2 linked regions of the Caenorhabditis elegans genome follow. The protein of the gene in region 2 purifies or fractionates together with the protein of the main gene of each other region. This does not show direct contact. Each region holds a gene or a part of one and is shown on either strand. Other genes may lie near its edges. The genes, in order: set-27 and F53F4.15.

Region 1 (8,208 bases), on a different chromosome or scaffold from region 2:
AAAATCCCCAAAGAGGCCTATAATTATTGTTTTTCCAGCGTTTCACAGTAATTCAGAGCCAATTGTAGAATATCGAGCTCCGCAGACTTTAGGCGAGCCGAATCTCCATCAATTCCAATTTCTTTGAGTTTTGATGCATCAAATGACGATTCATAAGATCTTTTGAGCAGTGAAAAGCGAGTTTTCAAAAATTCCAATCCTTTTTTACGGTTTTCCGGTGCTGAAACGGCTTCTTCGGTGGGTGTTGTGGAGACGAAAATCGCTGCGAACATTAGAAGATCCAGTGGGAATGGTTGTTCGTGGTACTGTAAGTCAAACTACAGTAATCTTTTGGAAAATTCTAATTTCATTGAGATTTTTTTCAGGTTTAGAATTATTTATTGTTGATGTAAAAATTTTGGAAAAAAATAGTATTTCAATTTGAAATATTGAAATTCAAAAATTTGACGAAAAGTAAACATTATTAGATTTTTCAAAAAAGTATTTTTTTTTTAATTCCGAAAATTTTACTTGTTTAAAAGTAAAACTTTGAATTTAATTTGAAAATATCCTGATTTTTTTGCTAAAAATTTAAAAATTATCAAAAAATTATTTTCAAAAAGTTCCTCAAATTTCGTTAGATTCTTCAATTTTTCCGTTAAAAAAATCCACTTTGTCAAATATTTAGGCTAGAAAAAATGTAAAAACTCAAAAAAAATTTTTTTTTTTTGCTTTTTTCAATACTAAAAAATTCAAAAAAAGACGATTTTTTAAAAATCAAATTTTTACAAATTTGAAGATTAAAAAAATTAAAAAAAAAACACACACACATTTGTTAATTTAATTTTACAATTTTTTAGGCCTAAATATTCGAAAAAGTGGATTTTTCACCAAAAATAAAATTTTCCATCTGAAATTCTGATTTTAAATATTTTATTTTTTAGCACAAATAATAACTTTTTTAATCGGGAAATTTTTAAATTTTTATAAATTTCTTTCCAATTCAACTAGAAAAATTCAAAAAATATCAAAATTTCTAACTAAAAATTGAAAATTGATAAATTTTCAATTAAAAAGTAACTAATTTCTGGAATTTTGCAGCTCAAAATTTTATTTTATTTTAAAAATTGGTTTTTTATATACAAATTTTCTTATATTTAAAGTTCGAATTTTTTTCAAATCTAACTTTTTCAATTTCTACTATAAAAAATTCAAATTTCTCTAAAATTCTTGAATTTTCAATTAACAAAAGCGGATTTTTAGAGAAATTCGCATATTTTTACACTGAAAAAAAAAAAAAAAATTTTATATTTTAATTTTTCGACCGCCGTTCCGAAAATCGGTACAAAACTCACATTATAAAGATCAACATGGAAAATATTTCCAGCACAATAGACTTTTTTCACAAATTTCTGAATCAATTTTTTCTTCGCATCCAACGTCTTATCAGTCTTCGGAATTCCAATTTTCAGCTTTAAAACGTCGAATTTTCCGTGATAAATTGGTACGAATCCATTATGAAGTAAATGTTCTCCTTTACTACGGCATCCATAAAATATTGTAACTTCATTTCCAGCTTTTACATCACAATGACTTGTTATAACTGCACATTCTTCTTCTGGTGAATAGCATACAAGATCTTCAATTGGCTCAGTGAGCACATCTGTGAGCACATTTTCGTGATTCGCCATATCTAGCACTGGGATTAATGCTGGAATCTGAAAAAAAAACACTTTTTATTAGATTTTTTTTCGAAAATCGAATTTTTTTTAATTTTGAAAAAAAAAATTTGAATTTTCTTTCTAACTTTTAAATTTTGAAACAATTTTGAGAAAAATAGCATCGAAATTATTGACTTATCAAATAAACTTTAATTTTTGTAAAGAAAAAAACAGAAATAACGAAAAAAAAAATTGATTTAGAGATTTTGGAGTTTTTTTTGCAATTTTTTTTCGTTATTTTAACGGTAAAAAATACAAAAAGTATCAATTTTTCTGAAGAAAAGTCGTAAAAGCAAGAATTTCTGCGAAAATGTTTTTTTTGAAAACTGAAAAAAAAAAGAAATTTTATCATTCTTCATAATTATAGAAATTAATTGATTTCCTAATAAAAATCAATCAGTTTTTTTTTTCGGTTTTTTCTAGTTAAAATTAAATTATATTTGTTTATTTCATTTTTCAATTTTTTCTGGCCTAAATATTCGAAAAAGTGAATTTTTACGAAAAAATTAAAGAAAATCGCCAAAATTTAAGGATTTTTTAAACAAAAAAGTACGAAAATTTGGAATGTTTGTGAAAAAAGTTAGAAAATTACGAAAATTTGAATTTTTTCTGAAAAAAAATTGGAAAATTACGAAAATTTTCACATTTTCATCAAAAGGATCAAAATTTTGATGAAAATGTATTTTAAAAAAGCAAAAAATGAGGGAATTTTCAGATTAAACCCAAAAAAAAAAATTGTTTATTAAAATTTTCGGAACTTTTTGTGTCAATTTTTTCAGAAAAATGAAAAAAATCGAGATTTTTCAAAGATTTTTTAATTTATTTTGAAAATGTCCAATTTAAAAAATTTAGTACTTTTTAAAAATCAATATTCCCTTACAATAACCGGATTTCCATCTTCTCCAACTTGATTTTCACTTGGAACCATATTAACTCTTGTCGTCACAACTCCAACCGCCCAGAAATACAGCTTCGGCGTGAAATTCGCGACGTTAAACGGAACATTATAGAAAATCGGAGTTTCCATCGCATTCCGTGCATCTTTTCGTCTCTGTGCCGCTTCGTAGATCTTGTTCTTCGCGATGGCCAACAAAAAATAGCAGAACTGCCGAGAAATTGTTCTATAGAACAGGATAGCTTCTTCGAATATCGGTGATGGCTTCAACTGGAGAAGTTGCTCTTCCGAGTAGAAAAGTGGTGTGGGAAATGTTGTTGGAAGAATTGAAATGTATGATTTCCATTTTGATTTCTCATTTTGAATCCATTGACATGCGAGGAACAGTGCGAGACCGACATTATCCATTCCACCGACTATCGGATCTTTTTCGAAGGCTTTTTTCAGAAGTGAAGATTTTTTTGCGAGGTCCAGAGTGATCATTGCGTGGCGGGGGACACGGGCGACTATATGACTTTTTGGAATTGGTCTGAAATGTGAAAAAATTCTTTGATGAAAACGGTGTAAATTTAATTTAATTTTAGATAAAAAATCAAAAGGTTTTCATAATGTTTTTCAGAAAAAAAAAACAATTTTTAAATTTCTTTTTTCTTTCCTTTTTTTTAAGGAAAAATTGCAACTCTTCGTAATTAAAAAAAAGTATTTTTTTAAAATTATTTTTCACTTTTTTACGGTTTAAAAATTTTTCGATTTTTTTAACCTCAAAAACCAAAAAATCAAAAAAAAATCAGAAAATCACCATAAACTTCTGTTTTTAACCGAATTTTGGTTATAGTGATAAGAAAAAAAAATGAGGAAACACGAGCGACTATATGACTTTTTGGAATTGGTCTGGAATCAGGGGTGTGCGGCAAATTTCGAAATTTGCCGCACACGTCAAAAATTTGACTAAAACCATTGATTTTTTCGCCAAAAATTTAGTAAAATGACACAAAATTGCGTTATTTTGATGCTTAAGCAGACATACTACACGGAACTTATTCAGAAACCAGATGAGTGTTAAGATTTCAGTAGTTTTGGTGCTCCAAAAAACATCAAAAAGTATCAAATTTTCCGAGTTTGTTAAGCACGGCAAATTTGCCGAATTTGCCGAGCTCGGCAAATTTTGAGATTTGCCGCACACCCCTGGTCTGGAATTGGAAATTTTGGTTTCTTTGCAATTTATTTTAGAAAAATTATTTTAAGATTTTTCAATTTTTTTGAAACCGAAGCAAAAATTTTTCAGAAAATTACGATAAAATTCGATTTTTAATCTAATGTTGTTCATATTACGGGAACACTAAATTCCGAGAATGCGTATTGTGCAATATATTTGACGCGCAAAAAATATAACTATATCTCGTAGCGAAAACTACAGTAATTCTTTAAATGAATACTGTAGCTAGACATCGCTTGTGTCGGTTTACGGGCTCGATTTTTGAAATTAATTAAAATCATTTATATATCGATGAAATAATAAAATTAAGCTAAAAATGAGAAAGTAATACAAAAAACGAAGGAAAATAGAATAAAAATCAAATGCCACAGAGCCCGTAAATCGACACAAGAGCTACAGTAATCATTTTAAGGATTACTGTAGTTTTCGCTACGAGATATAGTCATATTTCGCGCGTCAAATATGTTGTACAATACGCATTCTTTGAATATTGTGTACCCGTAATATTGATGAGAAAAAACATAAGGAAACATGAAAAAATGTCTTCTAAAAAGAAGAAAAATGGCGAAAACTTAAAGCAAATTTTTTTTTTCAAATTTTGAAAAAAAAAATTTCAGAGAAAACCGAAAATTTGAAAAACTAAATTTTTTCGATTTAAAATTTTGATTTTTCGGTTTCTTTCATGGAATATAAAAAAGGATTAAAATGAGATTAATCCTTTAAAAAATTAGATTTTTCCAGAAAAAAGTAAAAACGAAACATTTTTCGATTAAAAAAAGAGGGAAAATCGAAAAATTAAGTAAAAATATTTCTAAAATTATCAAAAATTACGGGAAAAACTCTAGAAAACGTATGATTTTTTTTTCTAACAATAGGAGAAATTACCAAAATTTCAAAATTTAAATAGTGGTCAATTTTCTAATTTTTAGAAAAAACAAGTATATTTTTTCTAATTTTATTATCAACAAAAGTTGATTAAAAATTGAATTTTTTGTTTCGATTTTTCGATTTTCGAAATATCGAAAAAAATTTTTTTGATTATATATGTATGGAAAAATGTACCCAGTTGCCTGAAGTGACAGCCCAGCAGTTTTTGTACTTCCAATTGTCACATTATTTCGAGCAATTCCAACTCCATCCGCCCACGCAAGAAATGTTTTTATTGAATCCGCGTCTCGTCTGAAATTTTGGATTTTTTTGTAATTTTTAAAAATATTTTAGAATTTTTTTTGCATTTTTTCTATTTTTTTTTTGCAATTTTTTTTTAGAATTTTAAAGGATTTTTTGTTGAAAATTTTAGAATTTTTTGCAATTTTTTGAATTTTTAAAAGAATTTTGAAGGTTTTTTTTATTTGTAGGATTTTTTGCAATTTTTAGATTTTTTTGCAATTTTTTTTTGAATGTTAAAGGTTTTGTTTTTGCAATTTATTGAACTTTTAAAAGAATTTAAAAGAATTTTTTTTTATTTTTAGGATTTTTTGCAATTTGTGCAATTTTTAGGATTTTTTTAAAGAATTTTTAAGGTTAAAAAAATTTGAAATTTTAAAGTATTTTTTGAAAAATTTTTTTCCATTTTTAAAAACTAAGCCAATATGTGGGCGGGGCCTAAATTGGCATTTTTTCACTAAAAAAAAATTATAAAAAAAAAATTTAAAAATTAAAAAAAAAAAAAAAAAAAAAAAACTTTTTTGATATTCTTTGAAATTCTTTGAAATTTTTTTTTTTTGCATTTCTTTATCATTATTTTTAAATTTTTTAGTATTTTTTGATATTTGTAAAGAAATTTTTAGAAGGTTTTTCTTCAAATTTATTGGTGTTTTTTGCAATTTTTAGTAGTTAAAAAAATTCAAAAAAAATTTAATTTTTGATATATTTTTGCATCTGTTTCATCTTAAAAATGATCTGAAAACAGTTAAGCTCCGCCCATTCAATGGCTTTCCCATCAATTTTTTTTTCCAAATTAGAAGTAATTTAAGACGAAATGTTCACATTTCCCGGGGGGTTTTTTTTCCGATTTTCTCCAATTTCTCACTTAGAATTAGCTAATCGCTCATCAGTATCACCAAGTTTTGCCTGAATACTGATAACATCATTAAGAATCCGCCGAATTTCAACGTGTTCCTTCCATAGTTCGACAATATTCGACGGTGGCTGCTTACTCAGAGTTTCTTCGAAAAGTGTTGCGATTTCTGGAATTTTCATCGTTTTTTTTTTGATCGTAGGCGGTAGGCAGGCACGTAGGTATGCCTGCCTTAATTTTTTACGAAAAAAAAATCCACTAACTTCCCAGAATTTGATCCTCAAGTTCTGCAGTTGGAGATGGCGCCATTACTGGAATTTTTTGATTAAAATTTCAATTTTTTACTCAAAATTTCGATCGAATAACGTAAAATTTGGGGGAAAAATTGCGAACAAAAGGTGGAAGAACGAGTGAAAAGTGACCAACAGCAGGCGACACAGAGCCTGCTTGCTGTGTGTGCTCATTGAGCCACATATTACACAGCGGCCACCAGCAAGCCCCGCCAACGCACTTGTGCCGGAAAGTTCGGCGGGTTTGGAAGGTTTGGAAGGTACATTGATTTTGTCAGGCAGAAGCTTAAGTGAAGCCATTAAAGGGGCGGGGCTAGGTTGAGAATTTTTATCACCGGAAACATGAAAATTTTCATGAAAATTATAAATTTTGAGGGTTTTTTAAGGGTTTTGCCAGTGAATTTCTAGCTAAAAAGTTGGTGAAAAATTCAAAAAAATTTTTTTTTTAATTTTAAAAAAATTTAAAGCCATTATATGGGCGGGGTTTGAAAATTATTGTGAAAATTTTTATCACCGGAAACATGAAATTTTTAATGAAAATCATATTTTATGAACTGTTTTTGAAGGGTTTTTTCCAGTGAATTTCTAGCTAAAAAGTGGAAGTTTTTTTTTAAATTAAAGCCATTATATGGGCGGGGCTTCGTCGATAATTTTTATTTCCAGAAACTTGAAATTTTTGATGAAAATTGTAAATTTTGAGGTTTTTTTCAGGTTTTTACCAGTTAGAAGCTGAATATTAGCTTTAAAAAAGTGGAAAAAAATAATTAAACCATTATATGGGCGGGGCTTATTTGAGAATTTTTATCACCGGAAACATGAAATCTTTAATGAAAATGGTAAATTTTGAGGGTTTTTTTAAGGGTTTTGCCAGTGAATTTCTAGCTAAAAAGTTGGTGAAAAATTCAAAAAAAAAAATTAAAATTAAAGCCATTATATGGGCGGGGTTTGAATATTAGTGAAAATTTTTATCACCGGAAACATGAAATTTTTAATGAAAATGGTAAATTTTGAGGGTTTTTTTAAGGGTTTTGCCAGTGAATTTCTAGCTAAAAAGTTGGTGAAAAATTCAAAAAAAAAAATTAAAATTAAAGGCATTATATGGGCGGGGTTTGAAAATTATTGTGAAAATTTTTATCACCGGAAACATGAAATTTTTAATGAAAATTGTAAATTTTGAGGTTTTTTTTTTCAGGTTTTTTCCACTAAATTTTTAGCTAAAAAGTTGGTGAAAAATTCAAAAAAAAATTGAAGCCATTATGTGGGCGGGGCTTATTGGGGGGGGGGGGGGGGGGGGGGTTTAATGGTAATTTTTGAGCATTTTTCGGATTTTTACCTGAAATTTGACACCTATGGTTCAAAAACCAAAAATATTTCAGTTTTCACCGTTTTTACCAATTTTTTTCTCAGTTAAGATTTAAAATTGGCGATTTAAATGTGAAAAACGAGAAGAAATAGCAAAAATGGAGAAAATTCAAGAATTCTAGCCAAAAGTGAGAAAATTCTGCAAATTTTTGATGAAAAAGGCAGTTTTTTGGGGGTTTTTTTTTTAGCTTTTTCTCAAATTTTGCCATTTTTTCGTAATATTGACTAGAACGGACAGTGAATGACACATAAGGAAGCCTATTGTTCTTTACGAAGGACTATGGGAGCTTTTTTCCCCATTTTTTGCGACAAAACGCCAATTTTCAAGAGGAAAATCATTTTTTTGAACAGAAAAACATAACAAATCGCATTAATAAATGCTAAAATCAGCGCAAAACATTCAAAAATGGCCAAAAAATACGGTAAGCGTGTCAATCTCTAGATTTCTAATCGGATTCTTATCAACGGACACTTATCAACAGCGGAACACGGGCGGTCAGTTGTGAAATATTGCTTTTTTTTATATTACTCCTCTTATTTTGAAATAAAAATTTAAGAAAAAACAGCTGAATTTATGAATTTAAGCTTAAAATAATTAAAATTCTGCAAAAAACTCCATTGTCTCTGCCGTCTCCACTCTCTCGCGCGTAGCAATGGAGCGCAGTTGCATTTCCCGGAAAACCAACAATTTTTTATTTATTTACTTTGTTTACTGCTGAGTAAAT
Region 2 (2,932 bases):
TTGTTACCCAAATCATTTCCCTTCATTTTTACCATTCTTCGTTGATCTTCTTTTACTTCTTCAACAATTTTGTTATTTCTTGGAATTTATTTGAATAAATATTCATCGTTGAATTCAAGTTGTTTTTCGTTTTTATTTCTTTGGTTTTTATCCATTCATAATTATGCTTTCAAAGTTTCGAGAAGAAATTAAAAAATCTCATTAATTTCGAACTTAAAAAAACGTCAACGAAACATGAATAAAACTACATAGAAATTCACTTTTTTGTTGAAAAATTATCAATTTTACCAATTTTTGTGATTTTCGGTGATTTTCTAAATTTTGAAAAATTGAGTTGAATCTTTCATTCTACCCATAAAAGAACTAATTTTTCTTGACTTCATGACTTTTATTCCAGATGAGTTTACCCTGGTATCACCTGGAACGGCCTGCTCGAATGACCTTGCTACGAGCTTATTATACTGTATGTGCACTCACATATCCTACATATGTGGCGATCAACTACAAAAGTTATATTCCAGACAGAGCACAGGTAAAATTAAATCTAATTAGTTGCAGTTAATGAAATATATTTAGGTTCTTGGCGGAAAATCACTTCGTGACGAGATTCTACATCCGGCAATCGTCAAAAACTAGATCTATCGATGTGCAATTCCTCATCATTCTCCGAATTTTTGTCAAATACGAGTATTTTTCCGCCATTATCATTGGTTTTGAGTTTTCCCCCATAGGCCCTTTTCGTTTTTTTCTTTTAGTTTTTAGTCGTTGTTTGTTATCATTTTAAATTTATTCATTCATTAAAATTATTTAATTATGGATTGATGAAATAGTTAGAATAACGATACAATCCCCAGACTGGCTTGTTGGGATTGTAGCCATAATTAGGATAATATGGAATATTATCATCATAGACAGTTGGAAGATTTTGTTGAAGAAATAGACGATCATAGAATCCTGTCCGAGCAAATGCAGACGGAGCTCCACGAAGATTTGCTTCACGATCTTCCCGTTCTTCTACTTCAAAAAGTAATATTAAATTCTACAACTTCTCCGTGAAACCTACAAATCTCGGCAGCAGTTTTATCATGTTCACATGGCCAGACTTTACGAAAATTGACTCTTTCCGGAAGGCACATTCGACCAGGTGGCATTTCAATAGAATAACCAATCAGGAGAGTGAAGCAAAGAATAGAGAGATGAAGAGAAAACATTATTGATAATCATACAATGGGAAAGAGAAATATGGAAAAGACGATTAGGTGAAAAACTTCAAGAAAACACGATTTTTTGGTGATATCTCAGTGATCTCGACAGATTGAAAAATATGGGCGAACTGGATTCGCAATGCATTTTTGTATGTAATAAAGTTAATTGAAAATTAACTTTAAAAATATAAATAGTTCAGATTTATCAGGTTTTCCAAATAACAACATAATTTTTGAATAACGATGCATTAGGTTGTAGGTTGGATTTAACTTCTACCGTTTCACTTCCAATTTCTCAGCGTAAAAGCCAATCGTTATTTACCTCTGAAAGAGAACAAGAATGAATTCTTAAAACTTGCCTATATTTTTCTCATAAAATTTTGTAATTCGTGGACATCGCCTTAACCAAATGTATTATTACGAGATCACTACTTTCTGAGAATGCGTGTTGTGCAACATATCTGACGCGCAATATATCTCGTAGCGAAAACTACAGAAAATATTTAAATTACTACTGTAGCGCGAAATATTTTGCGCAATACGCATTCTAGACATCTAAAGATAAGAATTTTCGCCACATCTTAAATACTTATGCGCACGGTCTCGCCACGCTGACAACGAGTTACTGTAATAATGCATTATAATTTTCGTTTCAAATGAAACATTGCTTCTAAAATTTTTAAATAAAAACATGATCAGTCATAAATCAGCACGAGTTACAGTAGTCAGTAGTCAGCGTGGCGAGACCCAAGCGCGTAAGATATGGCAAAAATTATCATCTTCAGACATCTATGTAATAGATTTAATATGATTAAGGCGTCGCTATTTTGATGATCTGTAAATTTTTTTTGACAATTGTCTAGAACATCAAGTTAACTTAATGTTCTAGACTATTGATATAATACGAAACGACACAGATATATCCCAGACTATGAGTAATTCAAACAGTACATATATTCTCAGGTACGCCAGACGCTTTCTACTGAATGAAGCAATTAACAGCTCTGAGAGCCATCACGAGGAAGCATAAATAGAGATATCTTACGTGCACATGATGTGTTTTCCTTCCTTTTTCGAAAAGTCGAGTGAATAGATATGATAATTGTTTACTTTTTTACGGATTACGGAAAATCTAGTTCCCAAAAAATTATTTATTTTGCAAAATTCTTAGCATTCCTTAGAACAATATAATCATTCTGTAACCATAATCTTCACAGTCATCGTTCCAGTGAAGCCTTAAAATAAAGATTTTCTTTCTATTGAAAAATTTATATTTAAGAGAGAGCTTTTACCATTTTTTTTTTCACTTTCAGAAAAACTTGAAAAATGCTGGACTCTATCACATTATTCTTCCTTTCTTTCCATACGTTTGCCGGAGTTTCTGGCTGCATTCTCAATTCAATTGTGCTCTTTTTGGCACTTTTTCGGACTCCGAAGGTTAGTTTTTCGTGAAAAATCTTTGAACTAATCATAAAATATAGATTAAAATCAAAATTTGAGAGCTTTAGTTCCCAGTTTGGTAAAAACTGTGCAAATCTCGTAATATAGGCTCAGCTTTCTACAGAACTCTGCCATTATAACTAGGTGTGGGATAGCTGGAAATGTTCTGCAGAAATTCCTCATCACATAGACAAGCAATTTCAACCTTCAAACATCAGTTTCCATTTCCAGACAATCGCCGCTTACACCACAATTCTCATAAACTTTGCATTGACCGATTTCCTCGC

What was found.
Region 1: the proteins of F53F4.15 (region 2) and set-27 fractionate together in Caenorhabditis elegans (co-fractionation; one large-scale study listed by BioGRID). This does not show direct contact.

The regions. Positions count from the first base shown.
Region 1 is NC_003281.10:2,698,873-2,707,080, reverse strand, and holds the start of set-27 (protein-histidine N-methyltransferase), read right to left. Parts: upstream 6,145-8,208; 5' UTR 6,141-6,144; coding exon 6,095-6,140; intron 6,001-6,094; coding exon 5,844-6,000; intron 4,991-5,843; coding exon 4,874-4,990; intron 3,125-4,873; coding exon 2,581-3,124; intron 1,698-2,580; coding exon 1,335-1,697; intron 306-1,334; coding exon 24-305; 3' UTR 1-23.
Region 2 is NC_003283.11:13,619,286-13,622,217, reverse strand, and holds F53F4.15 (Neuropeptide-Like Protein), read right to left. Parts: upstream 1,243-2,932; 5' UTR 1,212-1,242; coding exon 1,064-1,211; intron 1,018-1,063; coding exon 812-1,017; 3' UTR 742-811; downstream 1-741. Other genes in the region: F53F4.16 (uncharacterized protein), read left to right, coding at 398-532, 577-636; srd-11 (G-protein coupled receptors family 1 profile domain-containing protein), read left to right, coding at 2,532-2,642, 2,877-2,932.